4 linked regions of the Elephas maximus indicus genome follow. The protein of the gene in region 4 interacts with the protein of the main gene of each other region in a biochemical or structural test. Links are inferred from orthologs where the notes say so. Each region holds a gene or a part of one and is shown on either strand. Other genes may lie near its edges.

Evidence for each region.
Region 1: the proteins of UBE2D2 (region 4) and RNF38 form a complex in vitro, tested with the Homo sapiens proteins (3 studies listed by BioGRID). The link is inferred for Elephas maximus indicus from reciprocal best matches to the Homo sapiens genes UBE2D2 and RNF38.
Region 2: the proteins of UBE2D2 (region 4) and ANAPC11 form a complex in vitro, tested with the Homo sapiens proteins (11 studies listed by BioGRID). The link is inferred for Elephas maximus indicus from reciprocal best matches to the Homo sapiens genes UBE2D2 and ANAPC11.
Region 3: the proteins of UBE2D2 (region 4) and HECTD3 form a complex in vitro, tested with the Homo sapiens proteins (3 studies listed by BioGRID). The link is inferred for Elephas maximus indicus from reciprocal best matches to the Homo sapiens genes UBE2D2 and HECTD3.

The regions. Positions count from the first base shown.
Region 1 is NC_064827.1:45,364,353-45,372,165, forward strand, and holds the start of RNF38 (E3 ubiquitin-protein ligase RNF38), read right to left. Parts: upstream 3,003-7,813; 5' UTR 2,957-3,002; coding exon 2,704-2,956; intron 1-2,703. UniProt on the Homo sapiens protein: Acts as an E3 ubiquitin-protein ligase able to ubiquitinate p53/TP53 which promotes its relocalization to discrete foci associated with PML nuclear bodies. Exhibits preference for UBE2D2 as a E2 enzyme.
Region 2 is NC_064837.1:71,681,239-71,688,490, forward strand, and holds the start of ANAPC11 (anaphase-promoting complex subunit 11), read left to right. Parts: upstream 1-4,234; 5' UTR 4,235-4,374; intron 4,375-5,344; 5' UTR 5,345-5,361; coding exon 5,362-5,470; intron 5,471-7,252. Other genes in the region: ALYREF (THO complex subunit 4), read right to left, coding at 624-638, 766-940, 1,042-1,105, 1,683-1,830, 3,247-3,378, 3,847-4,080. UniProt on the Homo sapiens protein: Together with the cullin protein ANAPC2, constitutes the catalytic component of the anaphase promoting complex/cyclosome (APC/C), a cell cycle-regulated E3 ubiquitin ligase that controls progression through mitosis and the G1 phase of the cell cycle.
Region 3 is NC_064821.1:87,411,181-87,418,411, reverse strand, and holds the start of HECTD3 (E3 ubiquitin-protein ligase HECTD3), read left to right. Parts: upstream 1-4,228; 5' UTR 4,229-4,313; coding exon 4,314-4,682; intron 4,683-4,874; coding exon 4,875-5,035; intron 5,036-5,301; coding exon 5,302-5,394; intron 5,395-5,473; coding exon 5,474-5,609; intron 5,610-5,910; coding exon 5,911-6,026; intron 6,027-6,112; coding exon 6,113-6,226; intron 6,227-6,380; coding exon 6,381-6,463; intron 6,464-6,878; coding exon 6,879-7,044; intron 7,045-7,231. Other genes in the region: UROD (uroporphyrinogen decarboxylase), read right to left, coding at 158-295, 654-815, 936-1,133, 1,376-1,438, 1,515-1,594, 1,712-1,884, 2,514-2,533. UniProt on the Homo sapiens protein: E3 ubiquitin ligases accepts ubiquitin from an E2 ubiquitin-conjugating enzyme in the form of a thioester and then directly transfers the ubiquitin to targeted substrates.
Region 4 is NC_064820.1:152,721,957-152,729,694, reverse strand, and holds the start of UBE2D2 (ubiquitin-conjugating enzyme E2 D2), read right to left. Parts: upstream 3,013-7,738; 5' UTR 2,913-3,012; coding exon 2,889-2,912; intron 1-2,888.

The sequences.
Region 1 (7,813 bases), on a different chromosome or scaffold from region 4:
ACAACTAAAAAAAAAAAAAGTCATCCATAGCAAACTAGGCTTAGCAGGTCAGAAAGGGTGAGAAAAGGATCACTAGTCTGCGTGCCTGCCAGGCTGTGTTGGGCTGGGGCCTGTAGCTGTAGTTTCATTATTATGAGACAAAAACCCTGTGCTCTATAAAAAAGAAATTTTTTTTTATGTGAGATATATTTAAAACATTAAAAAAAAAATTAGAATAACATAAGGAATATCTCTGTACCTGACATTAGCAAATCTTACTTGCAATTACTGTATCTGACTCAGATTTTTTAAGTAATAGATTATTACAGGTATGATGGAAGCCCTCAGTGTACCCCTGTCCAATCCATTTCTCCCCATCTCTTCCCAGAGATAATCACTACTCTGTATTTGGTGTTAGTTGTTTTTATGCATGTTTTTATACTATTACTGCACATGTATATAGCCACAAACAATACTATTTTGCACGTTTTCACACTTTATACAAACGGAAACATTTTTTATGAATTCTCCCGGGACTTGCTTCCCCCTCCCCATATCATGTTTTGTTTGTGAGATTCATACATTTTGATGCTTGCAGCTATAAGCCATAGTTTGTTCATTTTTTCACAATGCTATAACATTTAATTGTGTGACTATCTTACAATTTATGTATCCATTGCCCTGTTGGTGGACATCTAAGCATCAATGAACTTTCTTCTACTTATTTTCTTGGATGAGTGTGCAAAGATTTCTTAGGGTATATACTCAAAAACAGGGAGGGAAGGATGAATATGTTTACCCACCTTCAACTAGACATCACTACGCTACTCTCCAAAGCCGTTGTCTCAATTTACATCCCCAGCAACGGTATATAAAAGTTTATTTTCCCATGACCTTACTAACACGGGGTTATCACAGCATTTAATTTCTGTCAATCTGATGGTTATGAAATGGTATCTCACTGTTGTTCCAATTTGCATTTCCTTGATTATAAGTCCTTGGCAAGTACATTTTCTTTCATGTGTGTTGTGTGTGCACAAGAGAGAAATGTTTCTTACAGTTTTTTAGAAAAATCTAACCCATTTTGTCTGTAACAGGGCAGATCTTCCCAAAGCATTGGGCCAGCAGTCACCACAGCTGGAAAGCTGAGGTGCAAGAGGGCAGCAAGAAAACACCTGATTTAAACAATGAATTATCTTGGACAAAGGGCCCTAATTAATGCATTTGCTAATTAGTCTTTCCCTTCCCTCTTTTGTCAAGCTTTACTTCCAAGACAATACTAGACACTTTGGGCCTATAGTCTCAAAACAGGAGAGAATGAAGAGGAGGGGTGTTAAAGCCAGAACGTTTCTATAAAAGTATGACAACTGCCCTTACTCAAATTGAAGTGACTTCACACCAATCCAGATTACTCAACTTGTAAGACACATCCACCTTTAACAGACTCCTTTCAAAGGCATCACAACGGCTGGCTCCCTCCTTCACTGAAACATCCCAATCTTTTTCTCTAGACTAGACATTGTCCCCTCCCTTCAGCACTCCTTTCATCTCCCTCCCCCCACAATGACTGAATACCCTCTCCTTTTTCCACATTCTACAGTTTGTATCTTCCAGCCCCACACAACCGTCTTCATTGCCTATTACACGTTGCTCTAGAACTGTAAGTCCTCTGCTCCTTCCCCTTCCAAAATGCATCCACAGTAAAAAGCCACCTAATCACCCACCCCAAATAGAAACGGAAATCCCATGCATTACATGCCAAGCAGGCGGGTGACTTGCCCCAATCCTCCTAGCTAGCTTCCTTCCCCTTCACGCCTGGGAAAACTGTTCTTTCTCTGGGGGTTCTATAAGTGTGGTAGGTCCAGACCACCTGGAAAAGCCTCATACGGGCTTCTGTGACATAAATGCCTTTAGGAGAGCCATGTGTACTTTTGGCATGGACAAAATTCGGGCCATTATGTGAAAAGGACACATTACTGGCCTCTCCACAAAAGCAGGCAGGCCTCTCTCCCATTAATTCCAGAGGAATTGGTTTAGTCCGCGCGGCGGTGGGGAAGGCGGGCCTGGCGGAGACCAAACGGTCTCCACGACAAGAAGTTTCCGAAGCTCTGCCCCACTCACTCAAGCTCTCCCTCTCCACGAAAGCACACCCCTTTCCGGGGTCTCTCCCTCTGCAGCTCTCCAACTCGGCTCCCCAAGGCACCACCAAGCTCCCCAAACGGCCCCCGGCTCCTCCCTCCCACCCCGCAATCCCAAAAAGGCTTGGGTGGGTGTGCCTGGGACCAGGCAGGGCCTAGCTCCCCTTCTTCCCGGATCAATCTCTCTCGGTTCTCGGAGCCTGGGGGATCTGCATCCTCCCAGACTCCTCTGCTTGGGATGGCCCTGGGTCTCAGCCAGGCTCCAACTCTCACCGTCTAGTGACCTTGGGCAAGTCACTTCCCCCTCTAAGCCTCAGTTTCCTCCTCCGCCTAGCGGAGACCTAGAGAAGTCCTGCCCTGCCCACCCTGGGGGAGGGGGCTGCCCAGAGGGTGGTAAGCGCTTTGTGAGCCGCCGGCCGCGGCAGAGACGCAGGGCTCACGGGGGCTCCGGGGCCGGACAAAGCTGACCTGGACAACGCTCCACCCCCTCCGCGGGGCTGGGCGCCGGGACCACACGCCCGCGGGTTCCCCACCCCGGAGGCCAGCCCACGCCCCTCCCCGCCTGGCCCGCTCCCGGACCCCGTACCTGCTCCCGGCGCTCGGCCGCAGGCGCCGCCACCCTGGGCGGCCGCCCGAAGAGGCCCGTGTCCCGGAGGGCTGAGGCGGCCGGCAGCGGCGGGCTCGAGTCGAGGCGGCGGCGGTGGGGGGCGCGGGCGGCGCGGGGGCCCGAGCTCGGCGGGGCCCGGCCTGGGAGACGACGACTGGGGCTGGAAGTGCGCGGCGGCGGCAGCTGCTGAGGCGGCGGCGGCGGCGACCGCGGCGGCAGCGCTTCCGCTCATGGCGGGGCCGCGGGCAGCGGCTCCGGCTGCGACTCGACTCCGGCGCGGCGGGCGCTGGCTGGGCCCCGGCCGGTGGCGGCAGCGACGGCGACGGAGGCGGCTCCCGGAGGGGGAGGAGGCGGAGCCGGGAAGCGGCGGCGGCGGCGGAGGGGGCGGGGACGCGAAGGGGGCGGGGACTCCGCGCCGCAGCCGCCAATGGGTGGCGGGCTCCTCAGCCGCGGCTGCCGGGCTGGGCGGGCGGCGCCGTGGGGCATCCTCGGCTGCGGCCGCTCGCCCAGGCAGGGAGAACGCGGGCGGGCCGCCCGCGGGGAGAGCCTGGCTCCAGGGCCGCCCCGCCCCCGGCCCGCCCCTGGGGCGCGGCGAGGGCCTCCCGGGCCAGGCCTCGCGCGGCGCAGGCCAGGGCTCTGCCTGGGACTCCGCTGCGCGGCCGCCTCCGGCGCCGGTGTTTGCACCCGCGACTTTACCGTGGGCCCTTCCCGGGTGCCTCCTGCTCGCCGGCACGCCCGCCCGCCCGCCCGCCTGCCTATCTCCCTTTCCATCGGTTTTGCTGCCTCGTCCTCCCTGCTTCTCTCCCCACTCTATGGCCGCAACCTTCTCTCCCTCTCTTGGCTGTTTCCTCAAAGTTTTTCCCTTTTAGCTACTTATGAAAGAAACTCTTGCCTTCCCTTCACAGGCCGTGTTTCAGTGACAAATCAGTCCTCGCGCATCCGGAGAGGCAGAAACGAGAGAGAGCTACTGCCTTGAGTCCTAAAGACCCATAATGAACGGGGACCAGCTCGGCCTGTCTCCCCTTTTCCTGGTTTTTCGTTTTTCTTTCCCACTTGTAAATACGCTTGTTATAAGACTTACAGGAAACCATACAACCCAGCTGGGCCTAATCTCAGAAGAGGGCGAGGCTGTGAAATGAGGAAAGGCTTTTGAGCTGTGCTGACAGTTTTCCTATGAGGGAAGAATTCTGCGGATTGATGAACCCGTGACCACTCTCCTCTCCTTGGATGTGATGTTGATCACCGAAACCACTTCCTTTCCTCATTTTTCTCTGATTCTCATATAAAAGCAGCAGAGGATCAAAATAAACGCAGGCAATTGCTATGGCTGCCTGTAAGTACAGACATGTCGGTTGGGGTGCAGCTAGGTAGACTATTTCGATAAACTGCTGTCCTCAGCCTTTCCCCACATGCAGCCACCAACTGGGGACTGAGTACATCTTTCATGCACACGCACACAAGTTGAGAAGGCACAGTGCTGGGCCCTATGAAATAGATGCATAGGTGAATCTTTGAAAACAGACATTTCAAATCCCACCCAGCCACTTACTAACATGATGGTTCATTAACAGTCATCAGCAATGCTAAACAGTGGGGGGACGAAGACAAAGATATAGTTCAGGACTTCACAGCGTTTACAGTCTCCTTAGAGGACACTGATACATTCCTAAAACCCATTGCCACCAAGTCTACTCCGACTCAAAGCAACCCCATACAACAGAGTAGAATTGCCCTATAGGGTTTCCAGGAGTGGCTGGTGGATTTGAACTGCCGACCTGGTTGAGTGGCCTGAGCTCTTAACTAGTTAAGAACTAAAGGATGAGCAGCAGGTTGGGGAAAAGTGGATTGGGAAGACATTAAGATCATATTAAGACCAAAGGACTCAGGATTTCCTGGATATTTGGTTTGGGCAACCAGCTGATGGTGGTGCCATTCCTGAAGAGAGGGATCACAAGGGAAGGAGCAAAGAACTATGACCCTGGTTAAGTTGGTTTCTTTCTGGGCCCTCACTCTCCTCCACAGAAGGCAGGAAGTCAGAATCACCAATATACAATTGCTAATGTCCTTCAAAAACTGAGTTCCAAAGATCTGCAAAGGAAAAATAAGATAGCCAAATTGCCCATTTCATTTTTAAGCTCAGTATAATGTCTGCTACTTGTATTTATCTCCTATTTTGGCTGGCACATTTGGGGGAGTAGGGGAGGAGAATATAAGAAAATACTGAAAGAGCTATTTCATGAAAAACTGTCAGACAGTGATTAACTTCTAATGGTATGTAAACTCAAAAGGGCAGCAAGACAGCTACATCGCAGGATAACACTGTGCAGCCTTAGCAACTGAACGACTCCAGTGCATCACCAGTGGAAAGGCCAAAGCACCTGTCATACAAAGTGAAACCCAATGAAAATAACTGCCTAAAGAAGGCAGTGAAAATAGCAACACCAAATGGGAGGACTGGAGCAGGAGAGAATGAACTAATCCACCAATACCATATAACCATACTTGTTCACAAGCACGTTGTCAACACGTGAGACATCTCTGAGGTTTTCCTGAAACACGGATGCATGTTGCAGGATGTGGGTGAGGGTCAAAGAACACTTGACCATTTCTCTCACTATTAAAGTACTAATAAAGGGCTGACTTTGACTACACAAAGCTGTTTGACTGTGTGGGTCATAACAAATTATGGATGACACTGCGAAGAATGGGAATGCCAGAACACCTAATTGTGCTCTTGAGGAACCTGCACATAGACCAGGAGGCAGTCACTCCAACAGAACAAGGGGATATTGTGTGGTTTAAAGTCAGGAAAGGTGTGCATCAGGGTTGTATCCTTTCACCATACCTATTCAATCTGTATGCTAAACAAATAATCAGGATTGGAGAAAGACACATTAACAACCTGCCTTATGCAAACGACACACCTCCTGGCTGAAAGTGAGGAGGACTTCAAGCAGTTACTGATGAAGATCAAAGACTGCAGCCTTCAGTATGGATTACACCTCAACATAAAGGAAACAAAAATCATCACAACTGGACCAATAAGCAACATCATGAAAAATGAGGAAAAGATTGAAGTTGTTAAGGATTTCATTTTACTGGGATCCACAATCAACAGCCATAGAAGCAGCAGTCAAGAAATCAAAAGACGCGTTGCACTGGGTAAATCTGCTGCAAAGGACCTCCTCAAAGTGTTGTAGAACAAAGATGTCACCTTGAAGACTAAGGTGCATCTGACCCAAGCCATGGTATTTTCAATCGCCTCATATGCATGCAAAAGCTAGAAAATGTATAAGAAAGACTGGAGAAGAATTGATGCATTTTAATTATGGTGTTGGCAAGAATATTGAATATACCATGGACTGCCAGAAAAACAAACAAATCTGTCTTGGAAGAAGTACAGCCAGGATGCTCCTTAGAAACAAGAATGGTAAGACTTCATCTCGTGTAGCTTTGTACATTATCGGGAGGGACCAGTCTCTGGAGAAGGGCATCATGCCTGGTAAAGTGGAGAGTCATCAAAAAAGAGGAAGAACTTCAAAGAGATGGATTGACACAGTGGCTGTGAAAATAGACTCACGTATAGCAAAGATTGTGAGGGTGGCACAGGACCGGGCAGTGTTTTGTTCTGTCGTACATGGGGTCACTATAAATCAGAACTGACCTGATGGCACCTAACAACAACAACAAAGTTCTGATACATGCCACATCATGGATCAACCTTGAAAACATTATATTGAGTGAAGGAAGTCAATCACAAAAAGAGAAATATTGTAAGATCTCACTCTTATGAAATATCTAGAATAGGCAAATATATACAGATCAAAGTTTATTAGTGGTTACCAGGGGTGGGAGGGAAACCTTGGTGGCACAGTAGTTAAGAGTTATAGCTGCTAACCAAAAGGTTGACAGTTTGAATCCACCAGGGGCTCCTTGGAAACTCTATGGGGCAGTTGTATTCTGTCCTATAGGGCCGCTATGAATCAGAATTGACTCTACAGCAAGAGGTAGGGGCTGGAGGGAGGGAGAAATGGGGAGTAATTGTTTAAGAAGCATTGAGTTTCTCTTCATGGTGATAGAAAATTTGGCAGTGAATATTGGTGATGATTGCACAACACGATTAACATAATTGATGTCACTAAATAGTACACAAGAAAAATGTTAAATTAGCAAATGTTGTGGTACATATATATGTACATATGTTATATATATATAACGATAATCATATAAAATAATCTGGTCTGTTACTAACTGCTGTATGGTACTCCATCCAACACGTTTTGCCTAAGGACTTCTTGTAGTTAAGAACACTCAGATTGCCTCCAACTGCCCACAACCAAAACCAAAGGTGCCATAAATACCTTCATACAGGACCCTTATGAGAATTTCTTTGGGTTATATATTCAGTAATAGAATTGGATATTTTATAGTTGTTTTTCTTTTATATAGTTTTCATTTTTTTATTTCATATATATGTAGTTGTTCTTAGATGCCATTGAGTCAGTTCCGACTCATACTGACCCTACGTACAACAGAATGAAACACTGCCCAGTCCAGCGCCATCCTCACAATCATTGTTATGCCTAAACCCATTGTTGCACCACTGTGTCAATCCATCTCATTGAGGGTCTTCCTCTTTTTCACTGACCCTCTACTAAGCGTAATGTCCTTCTCCAGGGACTGATCCCTCCTGACAACATGTCCAAAGTATGTGAGACATAGTCTCGCCATCCTTGCTTCTAAGGAGCATCCTGGTTGTACTTCTTCCAAGACAGATTTGTTCATTTTTTGGCAGTGCATGGTATATTCAATATTCTTCGCCAATACCACAATCCAAAGGCGTCAATTCTTCTTTACTCTTCCTTATTCATTGCCCAGCTTTTACGCACATATGACACGATTGAAAACACCATGGCTTGGGTCAAGTGCACCTCAGTCTTCAAGGTGATATCTTTGCTTTTCAACACTTTAAAGAGGTCTTTTGCAGCCGATTTGCCCAATGCAATGCGTCTTTTGATTTCTTGACTGCTGCTTCCATAGGTGTTGATTGTGGATCCAAGTAAAACGAAATCCTTGACAACTTTAATCT
Region 2 (7,252 bases), on a different chromosome or scaffold from region 4:
TTTCTCTGAGAACTACAGGACGTGGAAAAACCTCTGCGAACAGCACAGGTGCCCCTCCCTCCTGGGGCCCTCACCTCCACAGTGTGACAGGGTGAACCAGCAGCTCCAGGCAAAGGCCACCCCCGTTCAATGTCTTCCCACCTATCAAGTAAGAGAGGAAGGATTAGGATTGGCAGGGACAGAAAAAGAGCAGCCAGGCTCCCTGTAGCTCAAAAATGCCCCCCAGGATTACTCTTTGCAGCCCCCGCACCTGCCACCTTTCAGACACTGGGGCCCTGCCCAGGCCAGGCCAAGCCTCCAACAGTGGGACGAATGAGTCAGGTCTAGTTCTACACACAGTTCTATTTTATTATGGCAAAGGTGAGAACACCACCTTCCCCACAACAACAACCAGTAAAGTTTATCCCAAAAATAAATCAGTACAAAACATGGCTGCTTCAGAATTTAAAAAAAAAAAAAAAAGGAAAAAAACCTTTACATGAGTTTTTAAATCCTATTTTAAAACACAAAAGAAACAAATCCACCATTGGCTACCCAGTTCAAGGCCCGCACCCTCCCACCCGCCAGGGAGCACGGGCGAGAGACGTCTGGGTCCTATTCCGTGCACAGATCCATGGGTCTGTTTAGCTGGTGTCCATCTGAAACAGAGAGAAAGGAAACATTCTCATTCAGAGGCTCCTGCTTCCTGCCACTCTCTGGGTTGCCCCAGTCCAGGTCTGTGCCCCAGATGGCTGCCTGCTTCTGGACCCTCACCCCAGGACTTACCCTGGCGTTATAAGCATCCAACTGGGCGTCCAACTCCTCTGCTGAAAGCTGCTGCTTTGAACTCCTGCCAGTTCCTCTGCCTCGTCCCCGGCTGCCCCCACGGGTGCCTCTCCGGGCGCCACCGCCACCGAAAGCTCCAGAGCCACGGTTTCTAGTCATGCCCCCTCTGTTTATACTGGCAGAAAGAAAAGAACTTGTTCACATCCTCATAATCCCTCAAGAACAATGTTCCCACACATCACAGGCCACCTCACCACCTAGCGGCCCCAGACTCACCTCTGTGTAGGTCTCCGTTGTGTGTCAATCTGTGATGTGACCAGCTGGATGTTCATGGGGCGACCTGTGGGAAAGAACACAAGACATCACATTCCAGTCCAGATGCCACCATACCCTGGGGTCCATGCAAAGACTGGAAAGGGTCTCTCTGTGCCTCAAATGCTGCCAACAAGGACACAAGCATGAAAACACTGGTGGAGAAACAAAAACAACCCCACCACACCTCATCCTTCTTTTCCTGTCTAGGCAGGTGGGCTGTCTGGTAACCTGTCTGGGGTTCTGGTGGGTAGAGAGGTGTGGGTGACCTCACAGAAGAAGGACCGGTACCTTTGTCTTTACGACTACAGCCCCGCACTCAGAGGTGTACTATGGCAGTTCTGAGAAGGCTTCACAGAAGTGAATCTTCCGGAAGGAGCTGAAGGAGGGGAGGGATGTAGCTTGCTGGATGGGGGTTCACAAGAGGTTGGTCCCGATGTGTGGGGCAGCATGAGAGGTGGCAGAATGGAAGAGAGAGACAAAGGGGCAAATGCAAAGTGTGCTCAGCCACGGGGAGGGAGCCACATTTCTATATGACAGGTACCAGCCCCAGTGCCACAACGTAGGATCTGGCCCCTCTCATCCTGGTCCAGGCTGATACTCACCGTCCAATGGCACGCCATTGTACTGTTTCATCGCTTTCAGGGCATCCGCCTTCCGCTCAAAGTGCACGTCAGCGGTTCCTAAACTCCGGCCAGACCGGTCATAGTGCACTGCAGCCTTCTTTAAAGTTCCAAATTCAGCAAAGAGTTCCTGGAAATCAGGAAAAACAAATTAACAGAAAAGCTGTGTCCCAAATACAGTTCCTGCAAGTGTGATCTGCTCTGGGGTGTTTCCCTGGGAGACAAACATATGCAAGACAAGGTAGCGGGGATGGGAACTGGGGCGGGGGGGGGAGGGGGCTGGCAGACAGCAACTTCCTACAGCAGGTGGGTCTGAGGGCCCCTGTCGGCGTTGGGAGTGGACATCGATTTCATGAGGCAGGTGAAGGAAGTTGCAAAGTCCACTATGAAGGACACAAAATTAAGTCACGATTATCTCAGACCAAGGAGACGTCCAATCAACAGCAAAGGCCATGATCACAGAGCAAGGGAAGCTGTCCACACAGTGGAGCAGCCTGGAGGGCACTGACGGAGGAGCCCTGACCCCAGCCCTCCCCCAGGCAGGTTCTGGCTCACCTTTCCCTCTCCTCCTACTCAAGCCTGCCGCAAAGGCTGAAGTCAAGCGCTGCCATGGTAACTGCCCTGACCTCAGGCAGGCTGGGAGTTGGAGAGGGAACCCAGAGAGTGGGGCTACTCCGGCCGCAGGCACACAGCGGGAAGTGGAGTTCACCAAAAGCGGTTTCCAGTGGATGCCAGAAACCACCTTAAAAAAAGTGTTGAGACACTGTGAGTGCTCACCAGCCTTGCTCTGTCCTTCCATGGCAAAGTCACACGGCTAGACTCTGGGAAATTGAACCCAGAAAGGCCCAACACCCTGACCTAGACATCTGTAAAACTAAACCCAGAACTTACTCCTTAACCAAAAAACCAATTTAAACATATTTGGGATTCAATTAAAAAAAAAAAAAAAAAAAAGCCACGGGCTTTGACCAAACACGGTTTGAGAATCATGCCACAGATGAGACGTGGCGAGTGCTGACAAGTGAGACCAGGTTTACAAAAAGCTATACAATAGGACAGGACTCAGGCAAACATGACAGGAAAAACACTGAAGGAAGATCCTCCCGCTACACTTCATTCGTTTTAGCAACAAATTTTCTAAATCCCAAATCATCATCATCAAAATCAGCACAAAATTAGAGCAAGCAGCGGGGTCTGTCACTGATACCTGAGACCCATTCACATTTTAACCAATCCTTTCCCTGCTACAAGTTGGAAGCTCTAGCAGGGGCTCATAAGGCTCACAGAGTGCGTTTCAGTGCTCAGAAGTAGCTCCTCAGACTGACACAGTCCTATCTGCAAGCACAGACGGGCCTACTCGTGGAACTGTCAACTTCAACACAATCACTGCTTGACACTATGTTCAAGCTACAAAGTGGCCGCTAACACGGGCACAAGGCGATCCCGTGGTTAGCTGGGAGGGCTCACTTTTCTAAGGTGGGAAGGGAATTCGGGGCCACATTTCAAACTGTGCAACTCTGCTCAACGAGAATCTCACGTTCCTTACCTGAATATCAGCATCCGACACTCCAAAATCCAGATTTGACACCAGCAGTTTCCCACCGGTCTCCACGCCAGCACCGCCCCCAAAGCCGCTGTCGAAAAGGTCGTGTTGCCATTTGTCTGGCAATTGTTTCGGCTGAAGGGGACGAAAAACCCACAAAAACAGAAATAGGCCCGTCAATCGCACTCCAGGCCTCGCTCGCGACTACCACAGACCCTCTCTCCTCCGGGTCTCGGGGGCCCCAGCTCCGGGGGCTGCCGTCGTCCCAGCCGCAGGCCCCATGGTCCCGACGCGGCCACACAACTTCTCAGTTCCTTCAACTAACTTCCCGCCGCCGTCGCACCCAGCGCACCCTCGGCTCCTGGCCGTTACGAGGCCCCGGGGCCCGAATAAGACAAACGACCAGAGAAGGTCTCTGTCTCCGGTATCTGCCCGGGTGGCGCGCCCTCGCCCCCGCCCACACCTCGCGGGCGCCGGCACCCGGGTCCGACCGCTCCTTCGACCCCTCTCCGCCCCCGGGCCCGGCCAAGCCGCGAGCCGCTCCCGCCCGGCTCACTCCCGCCGCGTCCCCGGAGGCTGGCTGTCCGGCTGCCCCCTACTCACCCGGCTGTACGGCGCCGGCCGGTTCCTGCCGCCGCCGGCTGCGCCGCGGGCAATGGCCGCTCGGTTCCTGATGGGCCCGCCGCCTCGGTTCACTCGCGCGGCGCCCTGCGCTCCGCCGCCGCGGCCGCCCTGGGAGCCGGCCCTGCCGCGGCCCCGGCCCCCGCCGCGGCCGCCGCGCTGGCTCCGGTTCAGTTTGATGATGTCGTCCAGAGACATGTCCATTTTGTCGGCCATGGCGGGCGCAGAATCGGCCTCGGCTCGAGCCCGCGCGTCAGCACGCCGTAGCGTCACTTCCTTCGTCGCGCGGGGCCTTCTGGAGCCGCGGCCTCGGAGCGGCTGCTGATTGGCTGCGGGCGGGTGGCTGAGCTCACGGGGCAGGGCGACGCAGGCGCACTGGCGCGCAAAGCTCCGCGGGCGCTGCTCGAGAAGTGGCAGGCAGCGGCCGCGGTCGTTTTTAGACCTTCCCGCGCGGACGCCGGCGCTGCCAACGGACGGGCGGGCGGGGCCGCGCCGATTAGGTCGTAGAAGGTGCGCGGGTTGGACGGCAGCCGTTGGGGGCGGGGCCTGGGCGGGGCGCCCTTTCCCACGCAGCCCCGCCCTTTGCCGGCCTCGGGTCGCGCTGCGGAAGCCTGGGCTTGGGGGGAGGGGGGGCACTGGGGCGGCTGGGCTCGGGTTTGGGGGGCTTCTGAGGCGAATGGGCTCGGGAGGCCGGACTGGAGGGCGGCCGAGGTGGGTTCCCGACGTGGCCGGGGAGCTGAGGCCTGACTTGGCAGCGGGAACGCCGAGCTTCCTTGGGCGGTGACTGGGTCGTTACCTGCATTTCCCACCTCCCCGTCCACCCTTCCTGACGATTCATGTCTGGGCACTTTGTCATCTGGTTCTGTCGTCAGGTACTGGATTCACCTCGGGCTCAGCCCCGAGGCGGGTGGAGGCCCGGAGTAGACGCTTGATTTTTTTTTTGGAGTGGTGGGGGAGGATTTCTGGAGGTGAAAACTCACACCGAACTGGAATTTTGGCCTCCATCTGTAATGCCTAAGCTGGTGGCTCTCATTGTTTGCTAATCGCGTCATTTTAAAGAGTATTGTTTGGCATAGTTTTACAGTTCTCTAGTGGGAACCAGCAGACCCTTTTATGAGCTTCAAGGTATAACTCGAGGTCCGTGAAGGCGTTCTAAATGTGGTTGGCAGAATGGAACGCTGGACAGACTCACGCTGTCCTAAGCAGGATCTGAGGCTCCTCGGGTGCTGAGTCTTCTTCCTTGGAGATGGGTCTCCAGCTTTCTCCTTTGATTCTAAAAGGGATTCCTAGTAGATGTTTCTTGACAGCGGAGTACCACCTCTGTGCACCTTTTCCTGCCCTCTGAGTGGAGCTGCACCCCATTTGCCAAGCCACTCACAGCAGTGCTGACCCTCTTGGATAGGGCAAATATTCCTTCTTTGGTGCCCAAATGTTCCAGCTCTGCATACTAAATTTAACAAGGTAATCCTCTTCCCCCTAGCCTGAAGGCTCCAGGCCATGAAGGTGAAGATCAAGTGCTGGAATGGTGTGGCCACTTGGCTCTGGGTGGCCAATGATGAGAACTGTGGCATCTGCCGGATGGCCTTCAACGGCTGCTGCCCAGACTGTGAGTACACCCCTGCTCTGTCATGAGCTCTGTCTGCTGGCCTTTCCTAGTAAATACCTGCATGCAATCTCTGGGTGTTAATATCCCGTCCCTGAAGAAGAGCTGACATCTAAAAAGCCAGGCAGTTTGGGCCCATGTTTGTATAATCCAACCCACGGTTTTGAAGGAAAAAGCATGCAGCCTTGTGATGTAATCAGACTCAGCTGTAAAACACACAGATCAAAAACAGGTGTTAAAACTTTTTATTTGATCGTTTTCAAACAGACTAGAGTGGTATCAGCACACACATACCCATGTAGCACATGGTGTTGACAGGTAATGGTATTTTACCACTTTTGTTTCACTTTTTTGCTGAAGTATTTTAAGGTAAGTCATAAACATTTTGATCTCTCACGTCACACACTTCAGCCACATCTTGAAACCTGACTCGCCAACTTCTTCTCCAGAGACAGCACTTTGGTCACTTCTGACAACACAGCAGTAATCCCTTAGTGCCGCCCGGTACCTCCTCCTTGTTCAGATCGCTCTAGTTTGTCCCCAGGTGGTTTTGTACGGCTGAGTGGTTTGAACCAGGATTCCACATTACATTAGGATGCGTTTACTCTTAAGTCTCCTTGATCTAGAGCAGTTCCGTCCTTTTGGGGCAGGCAAGAGCCTAGTATCTCACTAGAACTTGATTTCTTCCGGTGAAATTCAAGAGATTGGGTTTCAGTACAAACAAGATTTTATTCCAGGCTTGAGCTCTTCGTCTGCCTGGCCAGAAGGAGATCTCATCACTTGGGATTAACAAATCCTGATCCCATCAGGCTGGAGGGATGGGATTTGATGGGATCGTTGATTGACTGTCCTTAATCAGGCTGTGTTGTTGATTGTTGGGTTCAGTCAATTCTGACTCATGGCAACCCCATGTGACAGAACTGCCCCATAGGGCAACCTAGCAGATCACAAGGCCTTTCTCCCGAGAAACTGCTGGGTGGGTTTGAACTGCCAGCCTTTCAGTTAGCAGGCAGGCAGTTGACTGTTTATGCCACCTGAGTAGCAAATGAGTTTAGTAACGGAATTTCTAGAGGTTTGGTTTGATTTCATCTTTTTAAATCGCCCTTCATAAGGATGCCCCAGATACTGAAAGCCTGCAGGGGCAAGGACTTGCAGTTTCCGGAGCAAGGAAGGTGTTAACTTCTGCAAAGTCCTGGAAAGCAGCTTGAGCGAACGTGTTGTGCCTGTGCCTAGGCTAGCTGGGCATTGGTGTGTCACTGAGTCTGTGTTAGTGGTGGCCCCCCGTCCCTGCGCAGTGGTGGACGTGCACACGGCCTGAGGAACCTGGCCTGTGTGTAATCAGCAGGTCCTAGGACTTGACACCACCACACTTGTGTGATCCACTCAGATTGTGTTAAAATGGGGACTCCTTGCTGTAGAGGATAGCGACTGGGGGTCCCACCTGTGGACTGGCACATTGTTCAGCGACAGTGATCCCGTTTTAATGTGCAGAGTGTTTGACAGCTTGTCTTAATTATCTAGTGCTGCTCTACCAGAAATTGTACAAGTGGATGGCTTTAACAAAGAAATTTATTCTTTCACGGTCTAGGAGGCTAGAAGTCCAAATTCAAGGTGCCAGCTCCAGAGGAAGGCTTTCTGTTTCTGTCAGTTTTGGGGGAAGGTCCTTGTCATCAATCTTTTCCTGCCGAGGAGCTTCTCAGTGCAGGGACCCCAGGTCCAAAGGATACGCTATTCTGGCTTTTGTTCCCTGGTGGTATGAGGTCCCCCATCTCTCTGCTTGCTTCT
Region 3 (7,231 bases), on a different chromosome or scaffold from region 4:
GGGGGAAGGGCAGCTCTCTGAGGCTAGAGGGCCTTGCCATGCCCACTAACCTTTCTCAGCTGCACCTCTGCTGCCCTCCAGTGGTCATTTCAGTGCATGCAAGACTTGCTCAGAAAGCTACACAGGCCTGCCTTCACTCACTCATTCCCATCCTCACCATGGGCACAGGTGCCAGGCCTGCCTCCTGAAGTCCAGCCTTCACCCTCTTGGCCACATCACGGATATAGGGTAGTGCAAACTTGGTGAAGAGCTGTGGGCCAAGGTGCCCAGCGTGGGACTCAAAAAGCTGTAATGCCTGCAGTTGGGGGTTTTGGGGGTGAGAAGAAATACGCAACATACAAAGAGGAAGTAACCCTGGACTCTCACACAAAATGTGGCTCAGTTTTCCCCACATGACCTCAACCTCTGATACGGCTTGAACCTATAAGCCTAGGTCTAATCAAAAAGTTTTGACTTCTCCTGCAGATCCCAGCACTAGCTTTGGTCTTCAAACACAGAGAGCATCAAGCCCCTCTTGCCAGTGTCAGGGAGGGCTTAGCTGCTCCAGCCAGATCATTGGAGGCCAAAACCCCACATGTCTGGCACTGAGATCTCTACCCGCTTAGTCCTTATAGATTAAATCCCAGCCTACTTGTCTCCCCCTCAGGACTCACCTGGGCACCAGCAGCCACTTGTCCCACCAGATATGGTACCAGAGTATCAGTGAGTATGCGAAGCAGCTGGTGACTAGCTTGAGGTCTCTGATACAGCCAGCGCTTGGCCTTAGCCATAGTGCTTGAGCTGCCACCCTCAATCATGTACGTCATCAGGGTCCACTGCAAAAGGATGGAAAGAGGATGTCACAGGAAGACTGACACTTTTCTTCTTCCCTTATCTACACCAGACCTGCCAGAGTGATTTCCCCATGCCTGAGCCTCTGTACTGTCCCACATTACCGGGGCGCCAGCAAAGCCAATCAGTGGCACACGCCCGTCCAGCCGCTGTCGGGTAAGGGTGATGGCCTGGAAAACATAGGCCAGCTCAGAGGCTGCTGCTGCTGGATCTCGTAGGTGCTCCAGGTCCTGTTCTTCCCTTAATGGCTCTGAGAAGCTGGGTCCTTTACCAGGCACCATGGTCACCTCCATGCCCAGTGCCTGGAGGGGGAGAAAACTTTTGGGTTCTCAACCTGGAATTCCAGGAGGAAAGGTTCTTTCCAGCCTATGCCAGGAAGAGAGAAGTCAGGCCCAAACTCCGTATCTTTCAGCCTTTGTTTTCCTCCTCTCTTCGGTGAGGATATGTGCTTATCTTGAACCCTGACAAGACTGATAGAAGGACTTCCAAGGGACCTTTCCCCCCTTTTTTTTTACCCATTCCAGAATCAGGTTTGGGCTGGTACCTGGGGTACAACAAGGATGTCAGAGAAGATGATGGCAGCATCCAGAGCGAAGCGACGTAGTGGCTGTAGGGAATAGGAGACAGGTTGCTAGGTGGCAAGCTGAGGAAAGAAATCCCTCCCTCCTTTGTGGACCCCTCACCTGCAGAGTCAGTTCACAGCAGGTCTCAGGGGAACGACAGGTGCTGAAAAAGTCCTGGGTAGCCCGGGTTTCTCTAAACTCTGCAGGCAGGAGAGAGAAGGCTGGACTCGGCCTTGAGGACCTCCATAGGCCTCCCGCTCCTCAGAAACTTTTCACTCTGCAGTTTTTTACATAGATTCCCGGGCCCTGACCCTGACCTGGTAAGTAGCGGCCTGCCTGCCGCATGCACCAAACAGGAGTGTAGTCTGTGTCTTCCCCCCAGGCTGCTCGCAGGAACGTGTCATTCTTCAGCTCCGGAAAACCCTGGGGTCTGGAAAACCCTGGGGTCTGGAATACGGGTGCAGGGAGTAGGGTAGGCGTGGACGGTAGGCTGGGGGATGGGGAAGGCGGGAGAAGGCGCGGGTTCTTAGGCGAACCGCTATCTGCCTCCTGCAGGCCAGCTACCAAGCTACCAAGCCCGCAGCTCCGCGCCCATTACGTCTCTTCTGCCTATCAGGTAGTTCACAAGACTTCAGAAGGGCCCGTGCTGAGGTCTCTTCCCTATACACAGTCCCAGCTCCCCCAAGCTTAAAACAACTGAAGGGACTGAGGAGGGAGAGGTCGAAAGCCCAGATAGTTTGGGGGTCTTCGGACCTGAGAATCTCAGGGACAGGGGTCCCAGTAGCTGGCTCCGAGGCTGGGAGACCGCCCCCCCGCCTCAGGCTGTTACAGTCAAGGGGGAATTATAGTTGAGGATCCCAAAATAGGGATCCTAGCTGAGGATTAGAAAATCCTGGGGTCATCCCCTAAATGAAGCTCTGGGGGACGCAGCACTGCTAAGCGATTCCTGAGATGAAGGTCTCAGGAATCCATGGTGGGAGGAGCAAGATCCAAGCGACTGGGGTTCGGGTTGGGAGATCACCATGGGTGGGGGGGGGGGGGGTCAAGGGATAGGTTCATAAATTAGGATACTCTAGTCACAAGCCCCGCTGGCCCAACTGGGTGCTGCGGAGAACTCACCCCAACTGTTTCGCTTCCATGGTAAGCCGTCTAAATGTCAGCACAGTACCCACGTTCACTTGACTCTGAGCCCGCCCTCTGCCCAGGCTCCGCCTCTTCCTGGAGTGAGCCAAGGGCGTCGCCATGTTGAAAGTCACATGATCAGACTCCAGTGACAGCTCCCGGGCTGCCTGGGCAGCTGCCGGTAGGACCCCTACCTTTCTTCACCGTAAAGTCTGCCGTAGCGGCGCAGCTGCAAACGCTTAGGGTGGCATGAGCAATTTGTTCTCCTAAAATGGCCTGAAAATCCCAAAGGCTCGGCCCAAGTCTCATTCTCAGTCCCGTTCTCCATGACTCTAACAATCTTATGTCTGGTCCAGCCAGGCATACAGCGGATGATGGAACTAGAGCACTGAAATTATTATTAAAAAAACAAAAAATTATGTATATTCACTACTAAGAGCCAGGCATTATACTAGATGCGGAGATTACAGTGGTGAACAAGACAGTCGCTGCCTTCATAGAGCTAGACTGATGGAAAAATAGAGAAACCACAATCACAATGGTAAATGTTTAAAGAGGGAAGAGCTGGAAGCAACTAATTGGGGGGAAAGTGGGGGAGCGGCCTCCAAGCAGAGGGAAAAGCATATGCAAAGGGAAGATTAGAAAGGGCAAATGTGATTGTTTTTAGGAACTGGGAGATTAATCTGGTGGAGGGTAGAGGAGAGGCTGGAGATGCCAGCAGGGTCCAGGTCATGCTGGGTCACTTTATCCTGAAGAAGTGTGTTGTTAGGTACCATCGAAACGGCAGCATACAAATAGTTTGGAGGGAAGCAACGAGAGGCACTGTTTCCAACTTCCTAGGAGGAAAAAATGGGGAGCTGTCAAAAGTACATGATTTTTTTCTCGATAACTTTAATTATGTGAAAATTACTTCAAAACAAAAATTTCCTTTACCTCCTGTACTTCACCAACAGTTTCTGCCTATCTTTCTCTGCCCCTTCCTTCCCACCATGAAGGCATCCGGGAGAAACTGAATAGAGATTATCAACCCGTTAAACCCATTGCCGTGGAGTCTATTCCGACTCAGAGCGACTCTATAGAACAGAGTAGAACTGCCCTCATAGGGTTTCCAAAGCCGTAATCTTTACGAAGCAGACTGCCACATCTTTCTCCCGCTGAGCTGCTGGTGGAGCAATCGCCGACCTTTCAGGTTAGCAGCTAAGACTTAACCACTGAGCCACCAGTGTTCTGGGAATAGGAGAAGCAACCGGGATAGAGACAGATTGATTCAACACTCCCTAGAGACAGGGATGGAATGGGAGTCATTCTCCCAAACTTTTTAGTCACTCGACGGCAACGGGGTTTTTTTACCCCTAAGATGGGAAGCCAGATGTCTAGCAGCGAATGGTCTAACGTGCGTTTTTAAGATTCCTCTTGTGGTAGTACGATGGCTGGGGAAATAAGATAGGAGGCGGGAGGACCAGAAAAATGACAGTTACCATAATCCGGACTAGAGAGAATTATGGCTTGAACCAGAGTATAGCAGTGGGAATGGAGAGGGGAGGGTTGATCAGGTAAAAATGACTGAACTTGGGTCTGACTGGCTGGGTAGGGGACATGGGGAAAGGCGGGGGTAAGTATTATGGCTGTCAGCTCAGAGTACACAGGGCAATACAAACAAAGTGGGTGTGCATAAGCCAGAATATACGGCCACGGCTGGCCAGAGGCGGGGCCGGACGTGGTGGGAAGCTCGGGCAGCTTTTGCAGCCGCTGCTCTCGGCGTGGGATCGCCCCTGGGCTTCCCTTAGCCTTTTCACCATGGCAGGTCCAAGCCCGGGCGCGACGCTGGAGTCCCCCAGGCAGCTGTTGGGCCGCGTGCGCTTCCTGGCGGAGGCAGCGCGAAACCTCCGCGCGGGGCGGCCACTGCCGGAGGCGCTGGCCTTCGTACCGCGCGAGGTGCTCTACAAGCTTTACAAGGACCCGGCGGGACCGTCGCGCGTGCTACTGCCGGTGTGGGAGGCGGAGGGCCTGGGGCTGCGTGTGGGTGCCGCCGGCCCGGCCCCCAGTACGGGCTCCGGGCCTCTCCGCGCTGCCCGCGACAGCATCGAGCTCCGGCGCGGCGCATGCGTGCGCACCACGGGAGAGGAGCTGTGCAACGGCTACGGACTCTGGGTGAAGCTGACCAAGGTGCAGCCTGGCCTACCTGGGGCCTCGCAAAAGACCCCCGGGGCCAGGGAACCCCCAAGTTATTCCCCTCCCCGCCCCGCCCCGCCCCCATATCGAGCCGACGCTGCGTTCTGTGTCCTTTGCCCTGGGCTGGGCTGGGCGGACCGGTGGGGAGTGTCCTGACGGCTGTCTCCGTCTGGCCCTTTCTGACAGGAGCAACTGGCAGAACACCTGGGCGAATGCGGGCTGGACGAAGGCTGGTTGCTGGTGTGCCGCCCGGCGGAAGGCGGGGCCCGCCTAGTGCCCATCGACACCCCCGACCACCTCCAGCGGCAGCAGCAGCTCTTCGGTGTGGACTACCGGCCAGTGCTCAGGTCCTCCACTTGAAAGGGTGGGACTTGCAGTTAGATAGCCGGCCAAGGAGGAGTTAGAAACAAGTCAGCCACTGGCCTGGGAGGTGGGATAAGAGAGTGGAGACTAGGTTAAAAGCTAGAAGGGGTGCAACCTGAAGGGTTCCCCTGGGGGCGTGGTCTGGAGAAGTTCGGAAGGAGACTTCAGGACCTGATGTAGGGGTCCTGCTGCTTGCTGATGTATCCCCATCCCACACACACCACCCCTCCCCGCCACCCTGTGCCCACAGATGGGAGCAAGTAGTGGACCTGACATACTCACACCGCCTTGGATCGAGGCCTCAGCCGGCAGAGGCTTACACTGAAGCTGTACAAAGGCTGCTGTGAGTGAACTGCACTATGATGGGGAGGTGGGAGCTCCAGGTCTGGGCCCGACCTAATTAGGGGCTTGGGGTTGCTTAGCTATGTGCCCCCAACATGGACCTACGAGTGCGACGAGGACCTGATCCACTTCTTGTATGACCACCTGGGCAAGGAGGATGAGAACCTGGGTAGCGTGAAGCAATATGTGGAGAGCATAGACGTTTCCTCCTACACGGTGGGTGCTGGGACTCCCCCTACCCCAGGCAAGATGTAGCCATATTCCTCAAGGCTAGGTTCAGACCCCCCATCTCTAGGCCAAGGCCAGACCCAAACCCCCACAGGCCAGACCCAGTTTAGGCTCCCATCTTGGAAGCCCTATAGGGACCTCTTAGGCACCTTCCGTGCTACTTGCCCAATTAGTCCAGCTCCACCATGCTTTTTCTCTTTTGCTCCCTGGCCCAAAGCACACATGCCCAGTGCAAAGAGTAGGAGTAACCGCTCACTCCATCTTTCTGTTCTCTCCCCCGACCCTCCAGGAAGAGTTCAATGTGTCCTGCCTGACAGACAGCAATGCAGACACCTATTGGGAGAGTGATGGATCCCAGTGCCAGCACTGGGTACGGCTTACCATGAAGAAGGGCACCATCGTCAAGTGAGTGGTCTCTGGGGCAGAGCAGGATGGGTGAGCCACAAGCATTTGGGTACACAGAGACCCATGTACACACTCTGACTCCTCAGGAGGCTGCTACTCACGGTGGATACCACAGATGACAACTTTATGCCTAAGCGGGTGGTGGTCTATGGGGGTGAAGGGGATAACCTGAAGAAGCTGAGTGACGTGAGCATTGACGAGTGAGTGAGCTGGCCTGGGATTTTGGGCAGGGGGTTGGGAGAGGGTGGTTATCCTAGCAATGGGGCCTGACCCAGCTAAGATTGAGTGGGACCCTGCAATCCCTGAATGTCTGGAGGGGACAGTGTCTGAAGTGACTCACACCCATCTCCTTAGGACCCTGATAGGGGATGTCTGTGTCCTAGAGGACATGACCATCCACCTCCCAATCATCGAGATCCGCATCGTTGAGTGCCGAGGTAGGACTTGGGGCTGTGGGGAAGGAAAAGGGCCAGTATATAGATGGGACAAGCTGGCATTGGGCATGGAAAGGAGATGGGCTTGGAATTAGGGTGAAAGTAATGGCTGAAGTAACTCCAAGATTTGAGGCATAGGGGCCTGAGTCGGGTGGTAAGTGCTTTAAAGGAGATTCCTTGAAGCTATAGCAGTTCACTTGGGAGAGAAACTGAGTGAGAACCCTCAGGGATCCCAACATTATAGCAGTGGGCAGAAGAGCCATCAAGAACGAGTAAATTACAATCCAATGAGTAGAAGGAGATCTCAGAGGTCTCAAGTTGCTAGGAGCTAAAGGTGACAAAAGGCTGAGCAGTAAGGAGCCATTCCCAGGTCTGGGGGCCAAGGAGATAGCAGGTGCACTCTGACCCCTTCTCTCAGACGATGGGATTGACGTGCGTCTTCGAGGGATCAAGATCAAGTCATCTAGGCAGCGGGAACTAGGGTTGAATGCAGACCTGTTCCAGCCAACCAGTCTGGTGCGATACCCGCGCCTGGAAGGCACTGACCCGGAAGTACTGTACCGCAGAGCTGTTCTTCTACAGAGGTGGCTGTGGCCCTAGAACTGCCAGGCCCTCCCCTTTCTCTACCCTGGGCTTTTGCATCTGTGTGGAGGAGGTCCCCAAGGCTTTATACTATAAGTTGTTTCATTTCAAAAGTCAGAGCAGCCCCTATGCCCTGCCTTCTCCCTGTGCCTGTGTACTGGGGAGGGGGGCTTTGTAGCTTACATCCAT
Region 4 (7,738 bases):
TAAGAGCACCGAAGAGCCTCCTGCACCTGTGTAAAAAAAAGTAAAACAGGAAGCAAGTCAAAAAGGCCTCTGATTAGTAACACAGTTCACAGAACACTTGAAGCCTCTTCACTCAGAGCACACAAGATCTTATTTTAAACATAATTTTAATAAACTCGGTGATCTGGTTTCCCAACCCACAACAGACTAGATGCAGCCAACTGGAAAACTGCTGGGGGTGGTGCTGCTAGAAGCAGGCACTCAGAATCAAAGCTGAAAACCTACAAATGCGGCAGAAAACCTCAAAGCTCCGCAGGCTGGGCCATTGGTATTTTGGTATAAAAAATACAAATAATTCCAGAGGATATCCCCAATCCTGCCCAGAACTACACTGGGTGTTCACAATGACCCCCTTTTGATACATTCATAGGTCAGGAGATTTTAAAAAGCATTTCAAAATAAAGTCCACCAAAAGCTTTTTCCAAAAAAGACACGGCATTTAAAGGACTGCCAAATTCATAGAACACTATTTTCCTCTGTCAAAGAAACAATATAATGAATTCCTAAAGATGCCAGAATGTGAAGTGTGTTTTTCTCAATAAAATTTTATTAGAACCCAGACGCAGCACTTCATGATATCTAAAGTTGGGAGTGTATTTAAATAGAAACATTTATTTAGAGAATGATAATTAAGAAGGTTCAAGGCCAAGATTAATTATTTAAGCCAAGAAAGGCTTTTGGGAATTCCAGTGTAGATAAATTACTGGGGCTGAGAATAAGATAGACCTGATCTTATCCATACCTAATAAGTAAGCCATTCGATTTAAAATTGGTGCCATACAAAAAGTTTGGGGGGGGGGAATTTCTTTTGTTTTCATAATCTTATTGACTGGTATACCAAAAATAAACTTTTTTTTCTAATCACTGGCAGCCTCAGAAATCAAGCCATACTTTAATTATACAATGGGGGGGGGATTTAATATTGCATTTTAAAAGTTCAAGTTATCATCTAAACTTGATTTTCCTCATTAAAAATTTTATAAGGGTATGTTTTAGAGAAGATCTATTCTGGAAAATATGAAGTAATTAATAACAAGCCATATTATTGGGCACAAGTTTTATTAGAAGATTAAAATATATGTTTTGAGTCAAAGTGTTATTTCCCTCTCGGAAAAATATACACCAATAACCTCAATAACACATATCAGTCACTGTAGAGATTAACAGCTAGATTTCTTGATCCATAAATTATCATACATTTTATTCACTCTCTCCTCTTCAGGTTGTAAAAGAGCACAATCTTCTACAGGTATAAACCAAGTGCCATCTCAAACTGATAACTTCCCGGTTAGACTCTGTAAGATACTAACTCCTAAAGCCTTCAAAATACGTATTTCACTTTGACAGCCATTCCTCAGTGTGCTCCTGTCCCTTAAATGATTCTTTCAGACATCTGCTTAAGATTCAAACTTCTTTTAACAAACACCCTGCCTCATTTTAGCACAAGATTTACTCTGTCTGAAGACTGCCCTTTTTCATTTGTTAGAAATCAAAGAAGTCAAAAGAATTTGGTAAGGATCTAACCTAATTTACAGTAACAACTGAGATTAATTCCACATTACATTCAAGGTCTCTGATCAGGAATTAAACAAGGGTTGAGGTGTTTAACACATCCAACTATCTACATCTTGACGGTTTAAGGCAAAGTTCTCTTCCTCTGGCATCCATATCCCATGGTTCAAGATGAATAATCTCAGTATCTATTTCTTACCAAGTAGCTAAAGGTTCAATACTGCCTTTCTGAATAGCCATGTGAATCACACACACACAAAAAAAAACACGCCAGGGGTGCCTCCCCACTGCTAAGGAAAAAAAACAATAGTGTCTGGCACTAAAAGGTTACAATATTAGAGGGGAAAGAAAAAACGAAATTTTAACCTAACCCCCACTCTAGATGGTAGTATTGGGAAAACCTCCTTAACAGTAACTGAATGAATAACCCTCAACTTTTTAAAAAAAGCAAAGAAATTCTACTAGAAAACTTAGCAAAACCCCTTCTAAATTAAAAAGTTCTCTCTAAACATATCTCCTAATTTAAGCATTAAAGCCCATCTGGTGAAAGGACTGTGTGATAAGAACCTTTGTGTAATTTCTCCAATAGTCTTCAATGTTCAGGTTTTTACCTCTACTCTTGCCAATTTAGTAGCTTTTCTATTAGATCCATTCTTGAAAAACTTAAGTGCTAGTTTCTGACTACATATGGCAACCCCAATGTAATAAAACCCTTTCCCGCTACTCTTCCTCCCTTAGAAGAGACACATTTTTTCCCTTCTGAACTTCCTACTCTAACAATTTGTCGACGAGCAGTGTAGACCTAAGTCTGAAGCCGCCCAAGAGGTAGTGAACTGAAAACACGCTTGCGGACAGGGCTAAACTGATTCCTCCCATCTCTCCGAGATATGGGCCCCGAGCTCAGGCGGTTTTGTGAAGGGAGCTAGGGCAGGTACGGGGGGCAGAGATGGGGTGAGGAGCCCTTCCGATCTCTGTCGATGGGACCGCCCAACGCCCCAGCCCCCCACCTCGGCCTGGACGGACAATGGCTCTCAAGCCCAGCAGCCCCAGGCCGAGAGGCCCTGGAGCTCCATGCCACGCGGGGCCTGGAACGGCGACCGATGAGGAATGCTGAGAGGGAGAGCGCATCTCCGGCCTAAACGCGGGCTGCGCGCCGGGGCCTCCTCAGGCGCCATCACTGGGAGTAGGGTGTGAAGGCCGCCCGGCAGGGCCATCCCCAGCAGCCAGGGCCGAAGAGGCCGTGAGCCGGCGGAGAAGACGGCTGGAAGTGCAGGCCGCAGCCTGCTCAGCCAGCCTGACCAGCGGCCCGTCGCCACAGCCGAGCTCCGGTCGCTCACCTTGTGGATTCTCTTCAGAGCCATCGTGGGAGGCGGGTGGCGGCGGCCCCCGGGGCGGGGACGGGGGCGGGGACGGGGACGGGGAAGGGGCGAGGGGATGCGAGGCCGCCTAGGCGATCGCGGGTCGGCCGCAGAAGACCGGGAGTTCGGCAGCGCGGGCCCGGCCGCACGGGCTGAGGGCCGAGGCCCACTCGGCTCCTGAGCCTGCCGCAGCGGTCACCGCATCACCCGGCGGCGGCTCCTTTATGCGCTGCCGCTCGAGCCGCCGCCGCCGCCGCAGCTGCCTCTTCCTCTTAGGCTCAGCGCCGCCTCTCAGCCGCCACGGATCCCTCCGCCGGAGAGCAAGAGCCCAAGCCTCGGGTTTGGCAGGCGCCTCTCTGCCGGACAACCGGAGAGAACGCCTGCCTTCCTGCCTGCTGCAGGTGGACGGAGGGACGCGCGGGCAGGCGGGCGGCGCCGCCGGGGTGGGGCCGCCAGAGCACGGGGTGGGCCCAGGCCAAGGGATAGATCGGGAGGCTCAGGGATTGGAGGACCAGGGCAGAGAGGGCCGGGCCGCGCCGACGGCGGAGGGATACGGGTCGCCCTTGTAAGAATCTTGCGCGCCGTCGCCGACGCCGCCACGGCCGTCGAGAGGATGACGCCACGAAGCGCAGGGAGGGGATCTCGCGATAGTTGAGGCGTGGATGCTGGTTACTCCCGCGTCGCGACCCTCGAGTCTCTTGTGTCTGGTTGCCCGCCCGCGTGTCATCGAGGTTCAATAAACTTTTAAAGGCGAATTTTTCCAGATCGCTTGACCGTCCTCGTAGTAGTTCCGGGAGAAGGCATTTAGGCCCATTGCAATATTCCTGGTAGAGGAAGAGACTTGTCCAAGGTCACATAACTCCTCAGCGGAGGATCTCTTCAGATCCCTATACGGAAGCCGAGTGGTACCCGCCTGGGCTTCTGCCGGGGATGAGGTTCCTTGTGCATGCCATGGGCAGCGCAGGGATTGGCCATTCCGACCAAGGCCCCAGCTGGAGAGGGCTTGAATGTTGCTCTCTCCTCAGGCACTGGCATGTCAGCCATAGGAAAGGTACCCAGAGCTGGCCTGCGTGTTGAATTGTATAAACAAACACTATACAAATTACCTCAAAAAACATGCACCGTGTGTGTGCTCCAGTAGTTAAAACCAACCTTGTGCTTCAGATGTCCATCAAAAGTGCCCACTGATAAACAAGCCTAGAAAATCGATTGTGGAGTTGCTTTTTACGAGGTGGAGCCAAAAAGCTAATTCACTCAGCCCCTCCTACTCTGTGCCTAGCTCTACACAAGAACCAGAGTTAGAAACAAGCCAGGTCGCGCCTGAGAGGTGCTCATCTGGCTGAAGACATGGGAGGATGGTAAGGAATACAGTAATTTCCTGTGATGCCCATATTCTCAAATCCGCACCGGAGTTTCCTGATTCTAAGTCTATGTTCTTTCCTCCACATCTGGAAAAGACCTTGAAGCTCCTTCATTGATTCTAATACCTGAATTTAGAGAGGAGAAAACCGGATCCCAGCTTAGCGAAGGACCTTGCCAAAAATCACACAGTATGTCAGTGGCAAAGCTCACACTGCCTCACCTGCTGAGTAGAAAAGCTTGGACAGCTAGGGCAAGGCCACCGTGGACCCAATGAGTGAAAGAAGGGAAAATCTGTATCCAGTCGTCCCGGGTAGACGAGTTTAGTCGCTCGAGTTTGGGGGCGAAGTGAGACATTCCACAGCCCCAGATCTTTTATACCTGAGAAATGTGGTGCCCAGTGGTCATATTTAAATTATTTTCAATGCTAACTTTTCTTGTATTAGAAAAGTAATATATATTTGTTGCAAGAAATACAGATGAGCAAAAGGAAGAATATAAAAATCACCCATACACTCACTGTTAAAATATTAACCACTTTTGCCATATTGGTATATGTCCTTCAGTCTTTTTTCCTTATGTATTGTCTTGGTTTCCTAGTGCTGCTATAAGAAAAATACCACAAGTGGGTTGCTTTAAAGAACAGAAATTTATTTTCTCACAGTTTAGGAAACTGGAAGTCTGAATTCAGGGCGCCGGCTAGAGGGGAATGCTCTCACTCTGGGCTCTGGGGGGAGAGCCTTGTCTCGGTTTCTTTAGCCCAGGCATTCCTCCATTCCTTCTCAATCTTCACTTCACCCTGGCGTCCATCTTTCCCCAATTGTGTTTGCTTGTCCTTGTGTCTGTGTTGTTCCTTATAGCTCAGAGCTGGTTATGTTTAGGACACACCCTACACTGATATGGCCCATAAACAAAGAAAACCCTATTCCCAAATAGGATTACATCCACAGGTATAAAGGTTAGGATTCCAACACATGCTTTAGGGGGACACAATAGAATCCATAACATGTATAAAAATACGTTTTTTTTTGAAAAGTGGGATTGTACCATAATACTATTTTGCAATCTGTTTTTAAAATAGATGATATATCATGAATTTTCCCATGTCAATAAACATTTTTTACCATATTTTAATGGCTATGGGGTTGCCATGAGTCAGAATTGACTCAAGTGCAACCAATAACAACAATGTATTCTGTCGTAAATGTACCGTAATTTAACTAGTCACATTTTTTGACATTTAATTTGTTTCCACTTTTTGCTACTAAAAATGATGTTGTGATGAATATTCTGTAGCTAAATCTTTGTACAGTTTTAAGTGCTACTTTAGGAAGTGAAATTGCTGGGTCTAAGAGTATAGAGATTTTTTCACCTATATTCACGAGGGATACTGGTCTATAATTTTCCTGTAATATCTTTATCAAGTTTTGGTATCAGGGTTATGTTGGCCTCATAAAATGAATTTGGAAGGGTTCTGTCCTTCTTTATGTTCTGAAACAGTTTGTGTAGGGTTGCTATTTTTTCTTCCTTAAGTAAATGATTGGTAAAATTCACCAATAAAGCCACCTGGCCCTGGAGTTTTCTTTGGGAAAGATTTTAATAACAAACTTAATTTATTTAATGGGTGTGAGGCTGTTTAGATTTTCTTTTTTTTCTCATGTCAATCGAGAATTGGTGTTTTTCAAGGAATTTGTCCATTTTATTTGTTCTCTATTAGAATAACATTACTCATAATATCCTCTTGTTTTTTTTCCTTTTCCTATCAGTAACATCTGTAATGATGTCCTTTTTTGTATTCCTGATGGTGTGTAATTTATGTTTTCTCTATATTTTTTCTTGATAAATCTTGCTAGGGATTTATCAGTTTTAATAATTTTTTCAAAGAGCCAAACTTTAACTTATTATTTTCTCTATTTGTCCATTTTCTATTGAATTGATTATTGCTCTTATTTTTATTATTTTCTTACACTTACTTTGGGTTTAATTTGTTCTTTTTAAATATTTTATTGTATTTTTGGTGAAAGTATACACAGCAAAACATGCTTCCACTCAACAATTTCTACACATATTGTTCAGTGATATTGGCTACATTCTTCTTCAGTTGTGTCAACATTCTCATTATTTGCATTCTAGTTGTTCCATTCCCGTTAACTTAGTCTCACTGCTTCCCAACCTTCTCAGAGTAACTGTTGACCTTTTGGTCTCATATAGATAATTTTTAAAAGAGCACAGTATGCAAGGGAGACTTTGTTTACTTTTTGAGCTAACCCGCTATTTCGTTAAAAGGTGACTCCAGGGAATAGTTTTGGTTCAAGGTCTAAGAGTATCTTAGGGCAGTAGCCTCAAGGATTCCTCCAGTCTCAATGAGTCCAGTAAGTCTAGATTTTTTGAGAATTTTGAAGTTCTGTTCCACAGTTTCCTCCCTTTCTATCAGGATCCATCTATTGTGATCAGAACATTTGGTAGTGGTAGCCAGGTCCCATCTAGTTCTTCTGGTCTCAAAGTAGAAAAGGCCATGGTTCAGGGAAGACAAATTAGTCCTGTAGGACTGGCTCCTTCTCTGATTCTTGTGTTTCCTTCTTTTTCTTTTGCTCCACATGAATAGAGAGCAATAATTGTATGTTAGATGGCTGCTCATAAGCTTTTAAGACCCCAGACACTACTCACCAAACTAGGATGTAGAACATAAACTTTATGAACTATATTATGGTAATTGACCAAATTGTCTTGCAAGACTATGACCCTAAGTCTTCAAACCAAGAAAACTAATCCTGTGAGGTAATTGGTTACGTCTATGAAGTATCTACATTTGTAGCCTTTATTTGTCTATATATATATTTGGTTGTTGTTGTTGCAAAATTATGTATAACATTTACCAATATATCCTTTTTCTTGTGTATAATAGTATCAGTTACATTAGTCAATCTGTATACTTCACCCGCATTCAGTACTGTCTTTCCCATCACAATAAAGAAAAACTGACTGCTATCTAGAGAGTGATTCCCCCTCTTCAGCATCCCCTACCCTTTGTAACTACCAATGAACATTGTACCAATGAACATTGGTCTCTGTATATGTACCTATACTTGTCATTTCATAAAAGTAAGATCATACAATATTTGTCCTTTTGTGATTGACTTAGTTGGCTGAGCATAATGTCCTCCAGGCTCATCCACATTGCAAGATGTTTTAGGAACTAATTTGTTCTTTTTCTAGCTTCTTAAAATAGGAACTTGGATCACTGATTTTACATTTTTCCTTTTTTTCTAACATAAGCACTTAAAGTTACAAATTTCCCTCTAAATGCTACTTTTGCTGCATCTCATAAATTCTGATATGTTGTGTTTTCATTTTCATGCAGTTAAAAGTATTTTCTAATTTATTCTTTGAACAAGGGTTACTACAAATACTTCAGAATTTATTAATCATTTCGTTGTTGTTAGGTGCTGTTGAATCAGTTCTGACTCATA